3 linked regions of the Tamandua tetradactyla genome follow. The protein of the gene in region 1 binds, or shares a complex with, the protein of each later gene. Links are inferred from orthologs where the notes say so. Each region holds a gene or a part of one and is shown on either strand. Other genes may lie near its edges.

Evidence for each region. Proteins that work in one complex are often made in the same cells at the same time.
Region 2: SF3B5 (region 1) and PLRG1 share a complex: the UniProt entries of both Homo sapiens proteins name them as parts of the minor spliceosome. The link is inferred for Tamandua tetradactyla from reciprocal best matches to the Homo sapiens genes SF3B5 and PLRG1.
Region 3: SF3B5 (region 1) and CWC15 share a complex: the UniProt entries of both Homo sapiens proteins name them as parts of the minor spliceosome. The link is inferred for Tamandua tetradactyla from reciprocal best matches to the Homo sapiens genes SF3B5 and CWC15.

The regions. Positions count from the first base shown.
Region 1 is NC_135351.1:43,423,174-43,429,148, forward strand, and holds SF3B5 (splicing factor 3B subunit 5), read right to left. Parts: upstream 1,181-5,975; 5' UTR 1,044-1,180; coding exon 783-1,043; 3' UTR 519-782; downstream 1-518. UniProt on the Homo sapiens protein: Component of the 17S U2 SnRNP complex of the spliceosome, a large ribonucleoprotein complex that removes introns from transcribed pre-mRNAs.
Region 2 is NC_135348.1:12,422,378-12,430,240, forward strand, and holds the start of PLRG1 (pleiotropic regulator 1), read left to right. Parts: upstream 1-4,843; 5' UTR 4,844-4,966; coding exon 4,967-4,975; exon of another isoform or gene 4,976-5,033; intron 5,034-6,305; coding exon 6,306-6,412; intron 6,413-6,729; exon of another isoform or gene 6,730-6,790; intron 6,791-7,435; coding exon 7,436-7,578; intron 7,579-7,863. UniProt on the Homo sapiens protein: Involved in pre-mRNA splicing as component of the spliceosome. Component of the PRP19-CDC5L complex that forms an integral part of the spliceosome and is required for activating pre-mRNA splicing.
Region 3 is NC_135334.1:47,986,917-47,994,316, reverse strand, and holds the start of CWC15 (spliceosome-associated protein CWC15 homolog), read right to left. Parts: upstream 3,021-7,400; 5' UTR 2,890-3,020; exon of another isoform or gene 2,877-2,889; intron 1,838-2,876; 5' UTR 1,830-1,837; coding exon 1,699-1,829; intron 717-1,698; coding exon 604-716; intron 40-603; coding exon 1-39. UniProt on the Homo sapiens protein: Involved in pre-mRNA splicing as component of the spliceosome. Component of the PRP19-CDC5L complex that forms an integral part of the spliceosome and is required for activating pre-mRNA splicing.

The DNA of each region.
Region 1 (5,975 bases):
TGCACCTCCCCATCCCCCTCTCATCTTCCAATATTTGCTTATGTCTATAGTTTATCTGGTCCCCCACCCCCTAACCCCAATATCTCAATCCCACCAGTATGACGGAAGCCCCAAGAGCCTGGGGAAAATGCGACATAGACCTCAACACATATTTGGTGAACGTGGAGTGAAGAACGAACTTGTATGGCAGCTTGTCAGTCCTGAAAGCATAGCCACAAAGTCCCACGAGAATGAGGGGTGGCGCTGGACAGCGAGCAGAGAGGGCAACCACAGCAAAGACTTTCAACAGGGGAGGGAAATGCCTTAAGGCATTGTGGGCCTGATCAGAAGGAAAAAAAGGCTTGGGAAAATTCGGGATGGGGGAATATGGTAAAGCTGGGGCCGGAAGGATTTAAGCGTCAGGCAGGGAAGGCTGGCCCCGCGACGCCGGCCGTCTCCTGTTGGGACGCCCAAAGAAACGTCAGCCCCCAAGCCTTCCCAGGACCGCTCCGCTCGAACACAAGGATTCCACACCAAGAAACAGAACAATTTCTAAACTTTATGGTGAAAAGCAAGACGACAATCGACCAGTCACAAAACGAACTTCCAAATCGCAGCCGCCTTGCATCACGCTGGCCGGCTCTAGGCTCTCCCCACGGCCCCAGTGCTCAGGGGTCCCGCCGGCCCCGGAGCGGTGCTCCGAAGGGTCCCCAGGACGGCGGGGCGTGAGGGACGTCCCCGGAAGGCGCCAGTGCGCAAGGGGGGCGTGCGCGGCGGCCCCGGAGGCGGCGGCCCGGCGGGGCTCAGTTCTCCTCGGGCTTGTCGGCCGGCGGCCCGCACGGCTGCAGCATCTTCTCCATCAAGTTGAAGCGGACTCGCGCCTTGCTCTCGTTCTCGGCGATGGCGAAGTAGTTGAGCAGGTCGAAGTGGCCCATGTAGGAGCAGTACGAGTCCCGGTGCTGGTTCACCAGCCACTCCCACTTGGTGGTGTCGGCGTGGCCCGTGCCGATGTACTTGGACTGCAGGTGCTCCAGCTGGCTGTGGATGGTGTAGCGGTCCGTCATGTCGCCGTCTTCCCTCTGCTCCGGGCCAGGGACTGCGGACGAGCAGCAGCGGCCGCTCCGAAGCTTCGCGCCGGGTGGAAGTCGGCTGGGAGCTCGTCGGCGCGCACAGTCGCAAGGCGATGGCGTCACGGCGCCGCCGCCGCCGCGTGGCCTGCCGGCCACAGGTCTCCGAGGCGGAAGCGGAAGCGTGTTCCGGCACCAAATTGGGGTTGCCTAGGCCACGAAGCCACCGCCCCGCCCCTCTCGGGACAGCCCCGCCCCCCGTCGCGTGGCATGATGGGCTTCGTGGCGGCCTGAGGGTGCCTGCATCCGGGGACTCGCGAGCGCCGCGGGCCTGCGCGCGCAGACGCCTGGGGAAGGCCGGGCCCGGGTCGCCTCGGAACCTTAATGGCGGGCGGTGCCTGCCGGGCGGGGAGCCACCTCGTGGGCCGGGGCCGTGGGCCCGGGGAACGGGAGGCGCAAGACGAGGGGCCACAGGCGGCCGGGAGAGGGGCCTCGCGCTGCCGGCCTGCTCGCCGAGCCGCCGCGGCCCCTCCCCGCCACGTCGGGCCTCCTCCCCGCGCTCGCGGCCCGCCCCCGCCGCCCAGCGCGCAGCCCGCCCGGGACGCGCCGTTCCCGCGCCCGGAACGCCCTGGTCCCCTTGGCACGCGCCCCCGCCCTTAGCTCAGCGCGAAAGCATCTGGAAGCCCGCCCTGCCCGCTCCAGACAGCTGCGGCGGCCCCGGCCTCCTCGCGCGAGCGGCTCCTCCTTCCCGCCGCTTCGCCGCCCGGTGTGGGTTTGGGGAAGTTCCCCGGTCGGGCCTGCGCGCCTGCGGCCTCCGCGCGCCCCGGACCTTCGGGTCGGAGGGACAGCCGGACCGCCGCTGAAGAGGGCGGGTTGTAGAGACCTTTAGGGCATTCGTGTTCTGCCTGTTAGGCCGGTAAACATTCCGTTCCTGCGGGCAGAGATTCAAGCCCTATAAATGTCCCCCCGGGTCGCCCCTTTCTGCACGGCGGAGCCTTTGCACGGTGGGGGTCCCCCTTCACGTACCGCAGTGATAGACTTGGCTTCGCTTCGTCAGCAGATTATTGTGATGATCTTTCTGGGAAGTTGGCAGTAATAGGTTAAATCAAGCCTTACAATACCTGTGGGTTTGCAGAGTTATCAAACCTTGTCATTCCCCCCTCCCCCCGACTTTGTTTTTTCTTTGTTAGATACAAATAAACTTGCAATTCTCCGTGTTTCCCCTCCCTAGTATGCTCGCCTCACCACGCTATCGGGGACTTAGAGTTCACCATCCCTCAGCCTGTCTCGTTTGCTGAAAGTGTGTCCACGAGCAATGGGTGGTGCCGTCAGGCAGGTTTTAAGGTTTCGTGTAAGTGGCACGTTGTATGTGCTGTAAATGTTGCTTTAGTCACGCCTCAGTATCCTTTGGATACAATGTATACCTTTAGTTCATTTATACCGTTGTGCAGTATGCCCACTCTGAAGAACGGACATTATTTCCAGATTTTCGTTGTTAGAGACAAAACTGCGATGAATGTTCTCATGGAGACTCATACCTCTTGGGCCTGCACGTGAGGTTAGCCCTGCTGGGACGCAGGCGTGAGTGTTGGCAAGCTCTGCTGGATCCTGCCGAGGTGCTCTCCAGAGTGCGTCTACCGTGCGCGGAATGAGAATCCCTGTCCCTTCACATTCTTCGGACATGTGGTGTCCTGAGACTTTGGGTGGGGTGCGGGTACATGGTCGGTGAATCGAATCCAGGTCTCCTGCATGAAAGACGAGCATTCTACCACTGAACAACCCGTGCGCCCCTGAGACGTTTTAAATTTGCAAATCTGATGCGTAGAATGGAATTCGTTGTGGCTTTCATTAGCATGTCCCTGATTACAAGGAAGACTGGGCATCTCCATACATGTTTACTGTATCCACGTGGATTTCTGCTTCTGTGAACTGCATGTTCATTTCCTTTCCTTTGCCCACTTTCCTATCGGATGATGGTATTTTTCTTACTAATTATTAGGAGATCTTTAAATAACCAGAATATCAGGCTTGCAAGTTATGGGTGACGAAAGTATGTGGTCCTTTATGGTGTCCTTTTTTTTTTTTTTTTACATGGTTACGCAACAGGAATCGAACCCGGGTCCCTGGCATAGCAAGTGAGAACGCTTCCTGCTGAGCCATCGCGGCCTGCCCACTATGGTGTCTTTTTTTACAGAAAATGTAAAGAAATTTTTGTTATATAGAAGTTCTTAAATTTAGTCAGATTTATCAGTCTTCCTTTATGGTTTGGGCTTTTTGTATTTGGTTTAAACCAAATTAAGGAAAACTCTTTTCTGCACTGGGACCATTGAAATAGTCTCTATTTTCTTCTAAAAATTTTAAAATTCTGCGTTTTCATATTTAAGATGAGTCCACCTGGAGATTTGACTTATTTTAAGGATCGAATTTTTAATTTTTCCCCCTATGGGTAGCCAGTCCCTGTAATAACTAATGATTCACTAAACAGTTCACCTGTTCTCTGATCATCTTTAATGCTTCTTTTATATATGTGTGGGTTTGTGCCAGGGCATTCTGGTCCATTGGCACAGGTGGAGGGTCTTGCTATTTTGTAAGATAAGGCAATAAAAGATATTTTGTATCAGGTAATAAAATAGGGGCCAAGCCCTCACAGTTTTCTTCTTTCATAAATGTCTTGGTTAGTCTTTTATATATATATATATAATTTTTTATTGTGAAATATAACATATATGCAAAAGCAATAAATTCCCCAGTACATTTTAACAAGTAGTTTTAGAACGAATTTCAAAGTTTGGTATGGGTTACAGTTCTACCATTTCAGGTATTTCCGTCTAGCTACTCTAAGACACTGGAGACTAAAAAATATCAGTATAATGATTTAGTAGTAATACTCATTTGTTAAATTCTAGGTTCCCTATTGCAACTCCTCCTTCTTCTTTGATCTGGCTCCCATTCTTTAGGAATATTTGGGCAATGACCATTCTAACTTCTCCATGCTGAAAAGGGATGTCGACATTATGGGTAGGGGATACAACTGGTTGATGCTGTTGGAAAGACTAATAACTCCGGGTTTCAGGGCTTATCTGGCTTGGAACCATCTGGAGGTTTCAGATTTCTGAAAAATAAACTTAGTAAGTGAAGCTTTATAGAGTCTTGGAGCCCTGGGTATTTTTTTTTTTTTTTTTTTGAGAATTAAAATTTTATTTCTTTGTAAATTTATCAACAGTGGTTTTAACAGTGCTTGTCTTCTCATCATATAACTTACGATGTGGAGCTACCCTCTTTTCTATGACATGGCAAATTGTAATTCTCCTAAGTTTAGATGAGCATGCAAAATTTTATCCTTTGCACTTTCAATGTCATGAAATGTCTTTAAGAGTTCCTTTCCTATGAAGTTTCTTGCCAGAATCACTTCCTCTGAGACATCTTTATCCTTTTAATCACAACCACTTTCTTCATTTATGTCTACAAGTCACCTTCATGAAGTTCCTCTGGTTGCACATCTAAAGTCTCTTGAGCAGCAGCAGTGTCGACATTCCCACAGTCGGCTGTACCTTCTGTAACTCCATTTCCATTCCATTTGAATCCTGTAAAAGTTTCCTACAGTACTACCCTGCACCACTGCGCAAAACAAGGATTAACTGTAACACTTGGGATCTGAGGCTGAATTTCACCACAGCATCTTTATCTGAACCCACAGCTTCGCCAGATAGCTTAATATTCATCAGTTTAGGCTGACTTCTGAAATGATGAAACCAGCCTTTTCTGACAGTAAAATGTCCTTTTCGGTCTCCTTGTAAAAAACATTTTCTTTCAATGTAGCAACTACCTTCAACGTTTTGGCCTGAATGCTAGTCAAACTGATTGGGATTTGTTTTTCACTACAGTCTTCCATCCAGAGTTGAAGTAAACCCTCCATTTCACCATGAGAGACTTGCTGTTCCTATGTGCAGTTTATGCCAGAAGATGTTAAAGTTACTTTACCTTGTTTTTCTGCATTCACTGGGTTTTTTCAATCTGGTTCATACTGTAGCTTCCTGCAGGGCTGGGTGTCTTCCTATCTTGGCTTTGCTGTCACCACTTTCAAATATTCTGATCACATACAATTTCACTTCCAGCATCATCACTTTGCATTTCTTCATTGCCCCATCATCTTTTCACCTTGACCAATTCCCTCTTTCTGTCATCCATTTTTGTAAAATGTCACTAAGCTTATCACTGGGAGACAACAAGGCTGTGCGTCTGCACACTTTGTTGCTTGTACGTGAATTGGGTAACAGATGCCCAGTGACCAAAGCAGACTGAAGAAATTATGTGATTTGTCATCGATCATGATGCACATTTGTTATTTGCGTAATGATTTATAGACAGAAGAGCACAAAGTCTTTGCGTAATGCAGCTGTTCATAGCACTGTGGTAACTGAAATTTTGACTGCATTTTTGGCAGCCTGGTGTCATCTAACTTAACTGTAGCGCCAGATGTTCACGCATATTGGAACTATGCAAAGCAAGGACTACCTTATTAAATAAATCTTCAAATTTCTGGTTAGATAAATCTCACAAACGATAGTTTTCTAAGAAAAACATCCTTCAGTTTTATTCCTCTCCAGCATATTTTAAGTAATTCACAAGACCCAGGTATCTTTTTCCAGCATCTCCAAGAATAAAATTCCTTCATAGGAATCTTTTTGACTGGAACCTTAGCCCCTCAATTCCATAGCGGTAAGTGTCTTGCCGAAAAGGTGTCATTGAATTAAGAGTCCACGTTTCTTCACGTTAGAATTTCGAACTCCTCTAAAGCCACATCCCTGAGGTCAACCCTAGGGATGGTCTCTGCGCTGGGGAGGGACCACCGGTGAGCAACGCGGGAGAGTGAGTGTTTCCAGGTTACTGTGCTTGGCTATTCTCGAGCCTCTGCTCTTCCCTAGGAGG
Region 2 (7,863 bases), on another chromosome or scaffold:
CAGTTGTCAAATATGTTTGAGTCTATAGATTCCATCTGTTCCACTGTTCAAAAAAAATTTTTGATTGCCATAGTTTAAATATATACTTTAAACATCCGGTAAAGATAGATATTCCCCTTTCCCCAACCTTTTCCAAAAGTTTCCAGGCATTTGAGCTGGTAGAGTTTGGCATACCAATGTAATGTTATTTTCATTGGAATTAAAATTATTTATAGATTAATGGCATATCAGATATATTTATAATTTTTTATCTTACTATCCAAAATAAGACATACATTTCTGTTGATTCAAGTCTTTTCTATGTCTCTTAAATATTTTAAAAATATTTTTTAGCCATGTGTGCTGGTTTGAAAGGATATATGTACCTTAGAAAAGCCATGTTATAATCCCAATCCCATTTTGTAAAGGCAGCCATTTCTTCTAATCCCAATTCAGTACTGTTTTGAATCTGTAATTAGATCATCTCCCTGGAGATGTGACTCAATCAAGAGTGGTTGTTAAACTGGATTAGGTGGAGATGGGTCCCCACCCATTTGGGTGGGTCTTGATTAGTTTACTGGAATCCAAAAGAGGAAACATTTTGGAGAATTTGAGAGAGATTCAGAGGGAGCAGAGAACACCACAGTACCAATAAGCAGAGAATCCACCAGCCAGCAAGTTTCGGAGATGAATGAAAATGCCTCCTGGGGAACTGGAGAGAAAGCTAGCAGATGACGCTGTGTTCACCATGTGCCCTTACAGCCGAGAGAATCCATGACTGTGTTTGCCATGTGCCTTCTCACTTGAGAGAGAAACCCTGAACTTCATCGGCCTTCTTGAACCAAGGTATCTTTCCCTGGATGCCTTTGCTTGGACATTTCTATAGATTTGTTTTAATTGGATTTTCTCAACCTTAGAACTGTAAACTAGCAACTTATTAAATTCCCCTTTTTAAAAGCCATTCTGTTTCTGGTATATTGCATTCTGGCAGCTAGCAAACTAGAACACCATGTCTTGCAGATTTTTTTTACTTATTGCTGCATCAAAAATTTTGTGGCTTAAAACAACAGAAATTTATCCTCTCACTGTACTGGAAGCTAGAAATATGAATTCAAAATGTTGGCCGGGCCATATTCTTTCTCTCCCTCGCCCTAGATCCTGGCAGTCTCCAGTCATCGTTGGCATTTCTTGGCTTGTAACTGCTTCATTCCAAACTATGCCTCTGTTTTCACAGAGCATTCTTCTCTATGTCCCTGTGTCTTCACATGGTCTTCTTATAAGGACCCCAATCATTAGATCTAGGGTCTAATTCACCCTAATTCACTATGCCCTCATCTTAACTAATTCCATCTGCAAAGACCCTGTTTCTAAATTAGGTCACATTCTGAGGTTCTGGTAGATATGAATTTGGGGAAACACTAGTCCCAGTGCACTGGGCATCCTTATTTTGTAGTTGGCTAATGAGAATGTTTCTACTGTCCTATAAAACATGGTGCTGGTTTTTGGTAGCATACTTTTAAAAGAAAGTCTAAAAATACCTAAATTATAATAGCAAAATATTAAATCAAAATGCTCTAATCTTCTTAGTTATTGGTGTCAAGAAGCATTTATTTTAACTAAATCCATTGCAAATTATATATTTTTACAAAGAAATTACTATTTAGTAACAGTAGCAGAATTTAGTTTTATATAAACTAAATAAAATTTAGCATTAACTTATTAAATGTAATAGAAAACAATTCATTTTAATAAAATTTACAATAATCAGAAAGACACAACTGTTGGGCATGTAACACACACATACAAATTTAATAGCCTCAAATTAACATCTGAAGGGTGTGCAAGGGTAGTTCAGTGGTAGAATTCTTGCCTGCCATGTGGGAGACCCAGTTTCGAATCCTAATCCATGCACTTCCCCAGTAAACCAAACTAGCAAGCAAAATAAGCAAACAAGCAAACAAATAAACAAAAAATTCAACAAATTATGCTGCAATAAGGATTCCCACATGGAAAAACAATGAAATGTGACCCCACCGTACAGTATACCAAAAAAAAATTCACATCTAAATTAAGTTCTCAATGCCTCCCACCCCAAAATTGGGCGTCTAAAACTTAATAGCTTGCTCATTCCTTTAACAAATGTTGGAAACCTACCAGTGACAAATCAAGTAGATGGTGAGTATGCGATAGTGAACCTCATACCAAACTCATCCTAAATCGACTGGGATAAGGCTAAATTAAACAAATATTACCATCAAACCGGTTAGTATATGAAGTGAGTGAAGAAAACTGTAAATGTCACATTGTTATTTCTTCTATAAACACTGAAAATATTTCTACAAATTAGAAACTACAAATAAAGATAAAACTTTGAGAGTCACAATCATGTCCAGACACTTGTGCTTGTGAAGGGGGATGGGACGTCATAAAATAGAGGAAGGTAGAATTGTGATAAGCAGTACTTTGTCTGTCTGTCTCTGTGTCTCTCTCACACACACCACCCTGCTTAAATGTTTATAACTGACAGTGCATTCTAACTATTCCCCAGGTCTCCCTAGGCATTAATTGAAACAACAGCTCCCTAACTGCTTCACACTCTCCAGAAGCTTTGCTCCACCCTGTGCTGTCAGAATGCACTTGCTAACACTACCTCAGCTTTGGACGCATTCTTAGCATTGTGATAAACAATTAAAGACCACACTCCTGGAGGAAACATCCTTGTATTAATTTTCACAGGTTCTGACCTTAGGAGTTCAAATAGGAAATGACGGTGCCCCCCATTCTTCTCGTTCGAATTAATAAATGATGTCAAATCTGTAGTTCAAAGGCAGAAGGATACATTAACCAAAACAACTCAAAAGAATATTGTATATAAAATGAGTAGTATCTAGAAAACGTTATACATTTAGCTTTCTAAGCTGAGAAAAACAGGAAGAAGAAATAGTAATATTCATCATTTTTATGTTTAACATTAAGAAACGTCCCATAAAAAAATCTGATTAAAAGCTGAAGAATTGATTCCCAGTGCAAACCAAACAGACAAACAAAAAGCGGAAGAATATGGTACTCATATCTACATGGAAGTGACCTTCTAGCCCTGCTTAAGAGCAAAAGACAAGCACTTGAAGGAGAATGAAGAGACCTTCAGTCCTGGTAAGTAAACAACCAATTAGTAGAAAAGAAAACACATGCACAAAACATATAAAAAAAAATTAGCTAGGCTTTCCTTAAAATTTGCACTATCAGTCTCACTCAGACTTAATATTTGTATTTACATTAATATTCACTAATCTCTGCCCTAAGGAACGTCTCTGAGCCTTTTTGAAGCGCAGTAGTGCCACCTACTGCTCAAATAAGGCAGCTCTGGTTTTCAGCAGGGGCAGGGATCTTTCACCTTTTGTGGATCCTGAATCCCTTCATGAATTCTATGACATCTACAGATCCCCTCACCAGAAAAACTCAGGCTCTTACATAAACACAGAATTTGCATACAATTTCAGGTAATTCATGAATTAACTCTGTTAAATGAGTATATTCTAGTGCAATTTACCTCAATCACTGCAATGTTTATATGAGTTTGGGGTTATAAATTAAACATTTCCAGGATGATTAAAGATCTAACAAGTTAATGGTCCCAACCAGACGTTGTCATATATATTACCCTTGCTTACATTTCTATGGTTGTATTGCCATTTAAAATCATGTTATTTTGTATAGTTATTACTATGTATAATAAGATTTCACTTCCCAAGTATATAGTTTATAATTATGGCATTTCCTTGCAAGACCCATCATCAATTGCTATTTTTACAAAAAATACGTTTTAATCTAAACTTACACTTAAGTAAGGTTTTTCAAGTAAAAACCTAATCTTAATGCTCTCACTGAATTAAAAATTAATGAATTTTGAAATAAAGTTAGTCATATTGCTAGGCTGTTGATAGATTCTTTTTCTTCTCAAAGCATATGCAGTATGCTCTGATGACAGGACCAGGATAACTGATTACGTTAAGAAAGAAGCAGACTCAGTGAAGTGTTTGTCTGAGTTTGCAAATGCTCAGCTCTGTCAATTTTTCTTTTTAGATACCAAAATAATTGGGCAGGATTAATTGTAAAGCGCAGGTTTTACCTGGATAAAAAACAAAATAACAGTATCGTGGCGCCAGGATTTCCATGGATAAAAATGGCTAAAGTCTCCAGCTCTTTCTTCCACCAGCTCTGGGAAGCTGTGCTTGGTTTCTCGAAGTTGCATTAATTACCAGGCAAGTAGAAAAACGCCGTTATATAATTTTGGAGAGATTTTTTAAAAATCATGTAGCAGTAAAGAAATGTGGGGTTTTACCACAGCTGTTAATAAAATTCCTTTCCATACCATCCAGGCCAAAATTTATCAGACAGAAACAAGCATTCAGCAGCACTCCCTCAATAAAAGTTTTAATGGACTTAATGTAATTGTTTAAGGGACGAGAGCTACAGCGACGACTTCTGCTTTCAGCCAGGTGGTGGCTCTCGGCGACAGAAAGCGCAGAGGCGACCCCCAAGGACGGTGTCTTCGCCCGGAGGGCTCGCTCTCCAGACCCTCCCTAAAGTGACTTCTCCCATTTTGTGAATAAAACGTCATCCGTTGCTAGGAAATACAGAGCAAACAACCACGGCCCCAAAGCAAAACATTTAAGACTGAGCGTAAATTAGAAAATATCCTCATTTCAAGATTTCTTCAAAGGGGGAGAGAACCTGCGGTCAGACGCTGGAGAAGCTCCCGCCCATCAGCCCCGAGACTCCGCCCCTAGAGGCGGCCCCAAGGAGGAAGGTCCGCCCCTTGTGCCCCCGAAGGCCCGCGGGAGAACTTATTGCGGGCGCGTGGGCCACGTCACTTCCGGCGTCAAGGCGCCCGACTACGGAAGCCGCTGTTCAGTGGTGGCGGTGGTTTCGGCGTTCGGGTTTGGTGCTCCTTTGCTGCCCGAGGGTTGGGAGCCGCGGCTGCAGCATGGTCGAGGTAAAGTGACACCAAAATAGACGGGAGCAGTTTGATTCTGGATTGCTTTTCTTTGACGGTAGGCTCGGGGGTTCAAGGATGCTGGGAGTCTTGTGGCAAGTGGAAGCTGTTTGGCCGAGGCCCGGTGGTCTCTTAAGGTTCTCGGAGAGGGAGTGAGGCCGGGAAAGAACACGAGTTTGAAGTTCCGGCGGGCGGGAAGCCTGAAAAAATCTCTCCAAGTCCGCTTGGCCCTGGTGAGATGGGACTTGTCCTCGGGGGCAGGGCTTCTGTTGATGTTTGACCGCTGGGGCTTGCCGCCTCAGGTGTAGTATCAGTGATTCTGGGCGGTGGAAGACCGACGATCTTCTTTCTTGCGTTCAATTCGTCTTTTATCCCAGCTCTTCCCCCACGGAAGCCTGCTGTTCTTGAATTCTTGCGTCTTTCCCTACGTTGAGTAGTCATTCTATTAGCAGGTCTTATTCGTCTTACTTCAGAAACATTTGTTGACTCTGCCCATCGTTCTCCATTTCCCCTGCCATCACAGACTAATAGCGTCTTTTGCTTGGACTAGTGCATTAGCTCTCAGCTTGACTGCTTGCTTCCATTTTTATTACCCTGTACATTGATCTGTTTAAACTATAAATTGGAGAACTTGACTGGCCTTATGTTCCAAGTAGAACAAAAATCTAGACTTCCGCAGTGTTCTAAAGGACCGTACCCGATCTGAACCTTTCCTTGCCTACCCTTGCAACCTCATCTTGCACCGCAACCCACCCTCCTATCCTGCATACACAGCTCTACTGCAGTTTCTGGCATTTTTTCAGTTACTGAATATTTTGTATGTAGAGTTACTCTTTGCCTGGACTACTCTTACCTGAACTCTTTGCAAGGCAAACTCCCTTCTCTCTCTGCTTGAATATCTCCTCAAAGCGTTCTTTTCTAACCATCCTACATTAAGTATTTTTTATTTCCTCCCTTCTCTTGCTAAGCCCTTTGCTTGTTTCCTTCATGGTGCTTAACAAAATGGGGAGTTATTTTGTTTATTTTTGTTTCTCCTTGGACCACCTTGACTATGACTGCCTGCTCATCGTTCTGTGGTTAGATTCTAGTACAATACCTGCCATACACATACCTGTATGCCAGATTAATCTCAGATATCATTCAGTTGGTATATGCTGGGGCTCTGGCCAAAGAGGATGTTCCTCTTCTTTGAACTTGCCTCCTGTAGCTTACTAGAGATAACTGTGGTGAGTGGTACAAAGCTTAAGTGCATTACTAATATGATTTTTAATTGGGTTATGATATGTGTAATTTGCGGCTGGATGTATAATTACCCCTTCTTTCTTTCTAGGAGGTGCAGAAACATTCTGTGCACACACTTGTATTTAGGTCATTGAAGAGGACCCATGATATGTTTGTAGCAGATAATGGAAAACCTGTGCCTTTGGATGAAGAAAGGTAGGTATAGTTCTTCGCCAATTGTTAAGAATATTTAAACTTCAAATAGTGAGGGGAAAAAGAGAAGAAAGGGGAACTATTTAATCTTTGAAGGTTGGTTAGTAATTCTCACACTTATGGGAAAACTATTCAGTAATGAGTGTTGTTTTTGGTATAAGTTAAGCTAATTTAAATTTTTTTTGGCCTTATCCTTTATAGTAAAACTCCCATTAATTAATTGCATTTTATGAATATCCAGTAATTATGAAAGTCCCTTTCAGGTGTTTTATTTTATAATCAGTCATTTTATATGTGCTTTCAGCTTCCTGCTGCTCTCAGAGCCTTGCTGAGCTTAAATTGTATTGTACCTGGCCAGTACCTCTGTTCACATCCTTTCTTGTTAGTGTGATGAAGATTTTTGAGTGAGGTCATATTTTTGATTTTACATCTCTGATTCCAGTCTGAGATTACATATTGCAGTGTTCCTTCTTTGTCCTTTACTTTCTTTTATAAAATCTACCTAATTCCTCAAACAAGCTTTTATATTTAATCTATGCTTAAAAAGAATGGAAGTGCTTTTTTTTTAAATTAAGCTAATTAAATACTTTAGTTCTATCTTTTAAATATAAATTCAGTAAAGTTTGCTACAGACGCTTTTACTGTATTTTAATATTCAGACATTTGAAGGAACATACATTGACTTGAATGTTTTTAAAGGACATTTATCTCTATATCTTTAAATCGGTTGGACTCTTGGCAACTCATCATGAAAGATTTTCTATTTTGTATTTAATAGTTAACAAGCTTAAATATTGCTTAGACTTAATGGATGCTATGTGTTGAATTATAAGCAAAAGTAAATATACAGTGTGGAAACGCACTTGGACATTTTGAAGTGAGTTTTAAATCTTAATGGAATTTTTTTTATGTAGTTGGACAAAAAAGTTATTTAAGTACTTGTCTCCAAGCTAGTCATAAAATTTGCATTTGTGAATATATTTAAACTATTTAAAATACACTCTTATGTTTATACTTTTTAAATAGTCACAAACGAAAAATGGCAATCAAACTTCGTAATGAATATGGTCCTGTGTTGCATATGCCTACTTCAAAAGAAAATTTTAAAGATAAGGGCCCACAAACTACAGCAGATTCATATGGTCATAAACAGTATCCTGCTAATCAAGGTGAGTATGGCATTATCAGAAATGGCAGGACTTACATTTGAATTTTAAAAATAGAAAAGCAAATAAAATTCCTTATTAGTGCCTCTCCTAGAAGGATTGATTAAAACCATGTAGTATTTAACTGCTATATCAGTAGTAATATTGGACGTCTCGATTTCCTCATGGGACTAGTGAATGAAATTATTGGTTGATGGCTTCTCTCTTATAGGAAGTATAGATGGTAGAATAATAATGGGAGAAGTTCATAAGATGTAGCAAAGGTCACAGTGGACACAAGGAAGAAAT
Region 3 (7,400 bases), on another chromosome or scaffold:
ACCGAGGCTTCTTTGACACTGAGGAGGAGGTTGTATGTTCTGCGGAAAAACAATCATCATTGAGCTTACTGAAACAAAGACTATACTTCCTATAACATTTTAGAGAATTGTGGGCACATACAACTTAGATTTTAATCATCATGACAACTGGGATCTTACTGATTACGCAGCAGTAACTGGTGGTCCCTCTCAGGAAATTTAGGAACAGTCTACATACACTGGAAAAGATATTATATCTGATGCCTCTAGAGGACCGCCAATTGTCAGTGACAAATGGGAAAGCCTTAGTCAGAACCAACGGAACCTCACAACACACGGCTGGTGTAAACAGTCTTACACCCCTTGATCTGAACAGACATGATGATTACTGAGTATCTCTGGATCAATCATGTTCATTCTCATACAGAAGCATAAAAAGATGGAATTGGAATGACTCTCAGATATCATGTCTAATCATTTAAAAAAGTGTTACAGCTTACACCAATATATATCTAATATATATATATATATATATATGTATGTACCTTCCAGTTATCTGATGAAAGGAAAAACTATCTCTAACATATAATTTTATGAGACAAACATCTGGGATAGTGCTGGTACCTCGGGTTGGGCGATCCCTATTTTTCTCTCTTGCAGCAGCTCTCTCTCTCTCTTCCAACTCTCTCCTGAAGTCACGGTTACGAACCTCTTCAGGGGCATCCTGTGTAGTTTGTCTAAAGTAGAAACAAAGCAGGGCAAAAATATTTGTAAACAAACATATGGCTGTAGCAAATGGAAACAATTCACAAAAAAACCCATTTGTCTCCAGTCTCTCAAGAATAAGAGGGAACTAGAAAAGATCATTAACCTAACGGAAGTTTACTAACAGGCACTCGTGTGATGGTTATATTTCAAGAAGCCCAAACTAAATCACATACTTTCCCATAATAAGGCTGCAATTTTTTTTTTTAATAGGGGCATCACTCTGGACAAACCTACAAAATCTCATGTCCTACTCAAGGCTCCATGTACTTACAGCGTTCAATTAAACTGTCTACATAAATTATATTAGGAAATGCACAAGTCAAAATATAAATTTTGTGCCAATTAAACATTTTTTTGCTTTAGTTTCACACAGAAGTTGAAGTTTTAAAATATGAATTGCCGTCTATTTTCAACACCCTGCAGTATTGACTCGTTTTATCTCATGCAAAAACATTTTAAAATTTCTACATTTAGTCACTATCATTATACACTCTAGGCATTCCTAGGTTATACCATCTTTATCGTCTATCTTTCCTTTTGATTTCATTTGTGTAAGGCTGCATTGTGATGAATTTTTTTCTTAGTATTAGATCAATTCAGAGTTATTTATAGTAACACTTTAAATCTCATATTGATCAGCATTGATGATGTATGGTCTCTCTGAGGTAATCATGATGATGCATGGTCTCTTTGAGGTAATCAGGTATCAGTTTTTGTTTCACTTACATATGGAAATTCCCAGTTAATAGGAATTTCTGTTTAATGGAAAGTTTGTGAAAGTTTGCAATCAGAAAGTATAATTTCAGTGTTAAACATACTCTATTATATTCTATTTCTATGAAAGTAGACAATTCAAATGACACAACCCAAACATGCTACTGTCTCAGGACCATGCAATTAAATGCACTTGGTCTTATTCTGTAAACAAGAAAAAATGAGTATCTTTATTACCTGTATTTTATCTTTGTATGAGAGGGTAAATCTCTGCTGGAATACTGCTTTGAGAGCTGACTCAAATCACCTTCTCCTTTTCCTCTTCCACCTCTTGCAGGTTCAAAAGTTGGCCTGGCTGCTGTTGTCATCTTTTATGCTTTGAAGAAAAATAGTATCAAAGTTATTTCCAATATGATAAACTGATTTAATAAAGTTTTAATCAATAGTCAACCTTGTGAAATAATTTTCAAAACATAGTTTTCTCAAAGTTCTCAGGATAACAAATTATGACGTTAAAGGTATACAAGGAATGCAGCTTCTTAGGAAGCTGTTACTAAACACAAAATTTTGTAGTGAAGACCTGTGTTTATATTCCAGTTCTTCCCCCTGTGTGGCCTGGGCCAAGTCACCTAGTTTGTTTCTGCCATCTGTAGAGTTATTGCAATTATGAGATTCACCATGTCAAAACTCTTGCAAATTACAGTACTGCCATGAATGACTTAAAAAACCTCAACTCAACTAGACTCCCTAAGGTTTCCATTTTATCTAAAACTTGCACAACAGCAAATAGGCTAGTAGCCACAGAAACAAAATGATACTTTAAAATATCACTGACAAAGTCATTAAGTATCCTAGAGAAAAGTTAAGCTGGAGAAAAGCTCGTTAAACTTCAAATGACAGGTACATAGGAAAAATTCTCCAGCAATCTTATTGATTCAGTTATTCTATTACAACAGCCATCACCCTATAAATCAGATTTTTTTGTAGGTTAGAATTAAACAAATTCTCAAACACAAGAGCCTCACCTCACAGGATTCCGATAACCAAAAATCGGAGGCCTGTTCCTTATGTTACTCTCAGCTTTAAGTAGTTGGTTAAAATATTGCCTAGCAGACGTGACACTAAACGCCCTTAGCCCTCGGAAAAGCCACAATGTGGAAGGATGGGAGAACTGGACGGATCTTTTATTTCTGGTATACTTCTCTATATTTTTCCAAAGGGAAAGGCGTGTCTCCAGAGGGAAAAACAGGGTTTTCTGCCGCCGGGGGCGCCGCTGCCTCCCACAACTCCCCCGGATTCTTTATCACTCCGTCCCCCCGGGAGCCCGCTCTCGGCTATTTCCAGGAACTCGCTGACGCTTCTCCAGCGCCCGACTAACCTTCTTTTCTCGCCCCACCTCCCAGATGAGAAAGAGAATCTGCTACCCACCTGCCGCTCACTTTGGCGGAGATCTGAAGCAGGAACACCCGGAGCTCACTCAGACACCATCACGACTCCTAGTTCCCAAAAACCTCTGCGCCCAAGGCCGAAGCCCAAGACCCGGAAGCAAAACCCAAGCGCTTTAGCCGCCCCTTGGAGGCTGAGACAAAGACCAATCCGCAGAGGCCAAGGTGGAAGTCGGAGTGACGACAGCAAGGGGCGGGGCCGAAACGGCTCAGGGGGCGGGCGTTTGAAATCAGAGCTTTAGAGTAGACCCTAAATATCATTTTATACCTTCAAGAACCAATTACTTAATGTCTCTTCCGTCTTTTCCTTCCCCGACCCCCTCCCAGACTCCTTCATTCCGGTACTGCGTGGACGGAAAGCCCCGGGTAGCCGACACCACGTCCCCGACTAGCGGGAGAGAGCGTGGAAAAGGATTACACCAAATTGTTTAAATCCACCGGCTCCTGCTTCCTTTCTCCTGAACTAGACCCAACAAGCCTAGAGAGTTGGGCTACGGAAAAGCTAGTGTTTTCATTTAATTGGATATGAAGAAAGAACAAATATGTACGGGGGCAACCACGATCTTTATAAAGGTACCATTCCTGCAAAAATATTAGACTTCAAAGCAAAGGTTGTATTAGTATTGTTTGTTAAAATTATTATTTTTAAGTGTGAGTTCTAGTGGGAGGGAAGATGTCAGTATTAACGATTCATTCGTTTATTCACCGGACATTGAGCGTTTAGAACGGTGGGCCCAACTGCCAGAGCACAAGATGCAATTATAAATAAGATGGCTACTCAAGCGTTAGATGAAGTTTTAATAAGACAATCAACAGGAAAAAAAATCAGATATCTCCCCTCTCCCGTCGCAAAAAAAAAAAAAAAGCACTCAGTAGAGATCTTGTTTGCTGAGTTCATCTTGATAGGTCATCACATAGTCCTTGCACATAGTAGGCACTCAATAAATATTTGTTGAGTAAGTGAAACTAATCTCCCCAACTCATTTTCAGATGTAAAAAATTTCACAAAACTAAACATTTAAAAGCGGTTTCCCTAAACTCTTTCTTTGTAACTTTGAAACGGGAAAACAACAGTGGAAAAGTCCCTTCCGCTTAAGTCCAAGATGAAAATCTTGATTTTCTTTATAGAAAGTTTTCCTCCTCCACTCTTAAACATTTCATTAAATGACACTACCATCAAACCAAAATGCCAGGGCTCATTCTTGAGTTCCCTTTTCTTCATCCTTCACATCCAGTTCATCTGTAAATCGTGCTAATTCTTTCAAAATATGCCCTAAATTTGGCCATCACTTTTCAATCCATGGCCACCGCCCTAGTCCAAGCCACCATGATTTTACACTGAACTAACAATGAATTTTCACTTCACAGCATCAGTTTGGCAACAGTTAAAAAAAAATAAGTTAATACATCTGGATGGGATGAGAATAAAAAGGCATCCAGTCAGACAGGTGGGATTCATTGACTCCCGGTTTCCCACACAACATAGCCGAAGTCCACCTGATGGCCTACAAAGCTCTCCTGTTCCAGTCCCTTCCCTCCTTTTTTTTTTTTTAAACCTCATCTCTTGCACATGCCCCTCTTGGCTACATCGCTACCTGGTATTGCTTGAGCACACCCAGCACTCCTGCCTTAGGACCCCTGCACTATCTGTTTCTTCCACCCAGAACAGACAATCTTGCCCTCCTTATTTAAGTCTTTGCTCAGATGAGGACTACTTGACAGCCCTATTTAAAACTGCAACTTTCCTCCCCCTTTCTTTCTTAATACCCTACACTCCATATCTCCCTTAACCTCTTTTGCTCTACTTTTTTCTTTTTACATAACATGTATCATCTTCCATTATCCTGTATAGGCTAATTATATGTTACCTTTACTATCCTTCATCTATGTTTTCCATGCAGAATATAGATTCTACAAGCGCAAGGATCTTTGTTTTGTTCAGTGATGTGAGCCAAGCACCAAAAACAACACCTGGCACCAACAGGCAAAAAACACAACGAAATAAACATCTTCCAAATGAATGAATGAATGAAAAAATGAGTTTTAACAAGAAAAAAACACACTCTAATGTAAAAAGCTATTGCTTTTGTCTGTTTTATATTTTGAAGGGGGAGAAAAGTAACTTACTTTCTGCTAGTCTGAAATCCTGATTTTGAATGAAGATACACCGAGACTCAGAAAGATGATTTGCTTTTAGGAGAGGCTGTTTATATATAAAAAAAATCTGTGGTTATGATCAGGCTTTATATATACTATCAGAATTCTAATTGAATTAATCCCCTGATCTAATCACAGACTCAATGCACCATCTCTCCATCTCTTCCAATCGAATCATCTTTCCCAATTCTAGTAACCCCCCTCATTTACAAAGCTACCAGCCCATAAAGTGTGTTTTTACTTGAAAAATGTTTCTTTGAGCCTTTTAATAGGAAAATGAACAGAAAAAACCAACAGCCACAAGCATTTAATTTTTTCGAAAGCCTTAAAAAAAAGTTCTTTAACTTTGAGAGATGTTTATTTCATAATGCCTGTTTCCAAATGATATAAATAATGGCAGTGACTTTAAATTTTTAACCCCCAAAATACCTGTTTTCCCATTTGTAAAGTTAATCTTTTAATCCATTTTAACAAGTGAGAGTAGAAAAAATAAAGCCTCTACCAACCAAATCCTGATTTTACATGAGACCCTCGAGAGCTCAGAAAAATGATTTCCTGGAAATAGCCTCCAAATTAAATGCAACAACAAGAAAACAAAAACAAAGAAAAAATTAAATGCCACTTGTTGATGGTCCAGGCTAGGTTACTAGATACCTAATCTAATCGCATGGCTACCTGCCTAGCTGTCCAGTTTATTATTACTAAGGCAATTTAAAAGCAAAACACTAAAAATACACAAAACTAAACAAGTAGTGCATAGAAAATAAAGGGATAAAAAAGACACATCAGGCAAATTCTAACAAAATATTTTATAGCCATATTCTTCAAAGTATTAAAATTAAGTAGCATTAATATGGGCAAAGAGGGACATAAATTGCATTACAAAGAAAAATCCACTAGGAAAATATGATAATCATGTGCATTTGTACAACTAACCATATATAGCCTGGAAAAGCATGAAGTAAAAATAAAGAATTAAAAGGAAAGATGGATAAATCCGCAGTCATGATAGGAATTTTTAAAACTTAAATTTCTCATATCGATAGATCAAGCAGACAAATTAACACTGATCTATGTATGCATATTATATTTATATAATGAATGCACATAAATCCTGTAGCAAATAGAAGAATACATATGCTTTTCAGTAAACATTGAACCTTTACAAAAAGTGATTAAATATTAAGCCCCAAAATAAATTTTGATAAATACTATATGTATATTTCTAAACAATATTGTTTAGTCTCACCAATATTACATATGTATTATTTCATTTTGCATTTTCCTTCCACTTAATGTGTATTATGTATAATTTTAGTATACGATATAGAATTTTATTGTGTAAAAATACACCCTATAATTTAATCATTCTGAGAATTATGTTTGCTGTATGAGACTTACAAATAATGCTGCTATGAACATTCTTATAAATGTGCTGAGGTGCAAGTGTGTGCTTTTCTCTAAGATTTATATATCCTAACATTCCTATCAGCAGGATAAGAGTTCTTGTTCCACAATCTCAACACACTTGGTGTTGTCCAATTTTAAATTTTAGCTCATCTGGTAGGTATATAGTGATATATCACTAAGGTCTTACTTTGTATTTCCTTCATTATTAATAACTGTTTCATAGGTTTGTTGACCATTTGGATTTCATCTTTTGTTATCTGTTCAAGTATTTTTTGTTGGATTGGCTATCTTTTTCTTATCAACTTCTGCACGTTCTTAATACTCTGGATACCAGTTCTCTATCAGATATTTGTACTGCATATATATTCTCCAGCTTCCTGGTCTCTTTTTAGTATATTTTGATATACAAAAATCTTTTCTTTTAAGATAGTTCAGTTTAGCCAGTCATTTCCTTTTTGCTTAGTGTATGGCATTTCTTGATTAAGAAATTCTTTCCTACTTAGAGATAATAATGATCTTTTCAGATATCATCTTCTAAAGCTTTTATGGTTATGTATTTCACAATTCCACCAGGAATTCATTTTTGTGTATGGTATGATGGAGGAATCTTGGAATCTGGTAGAGCAAGTCTTGGCCCACTTTCTTACTTGACCCTTTGTACTTCAATATGAAATTTAGAGTCAGATTGTCAAGTTCCACAAAAATAATTTTGGAATTTTGATTGAATCTATAAATCAATTTAAGGAGAATTAACATCTATATTATATTGAGTCTTCACATGCATTAACAGGTTATATCTTTCCATTTAATTAGGTTTTCTTTAGTTGCCTTTTAAAAATGTATATCTTCCTAAAAGTCTTGCGCATTTTTGGTAGCTTTAGCCTTAGGTATAGTATGTATTTTTTTATGCCAGTGAAAGAGGATCTT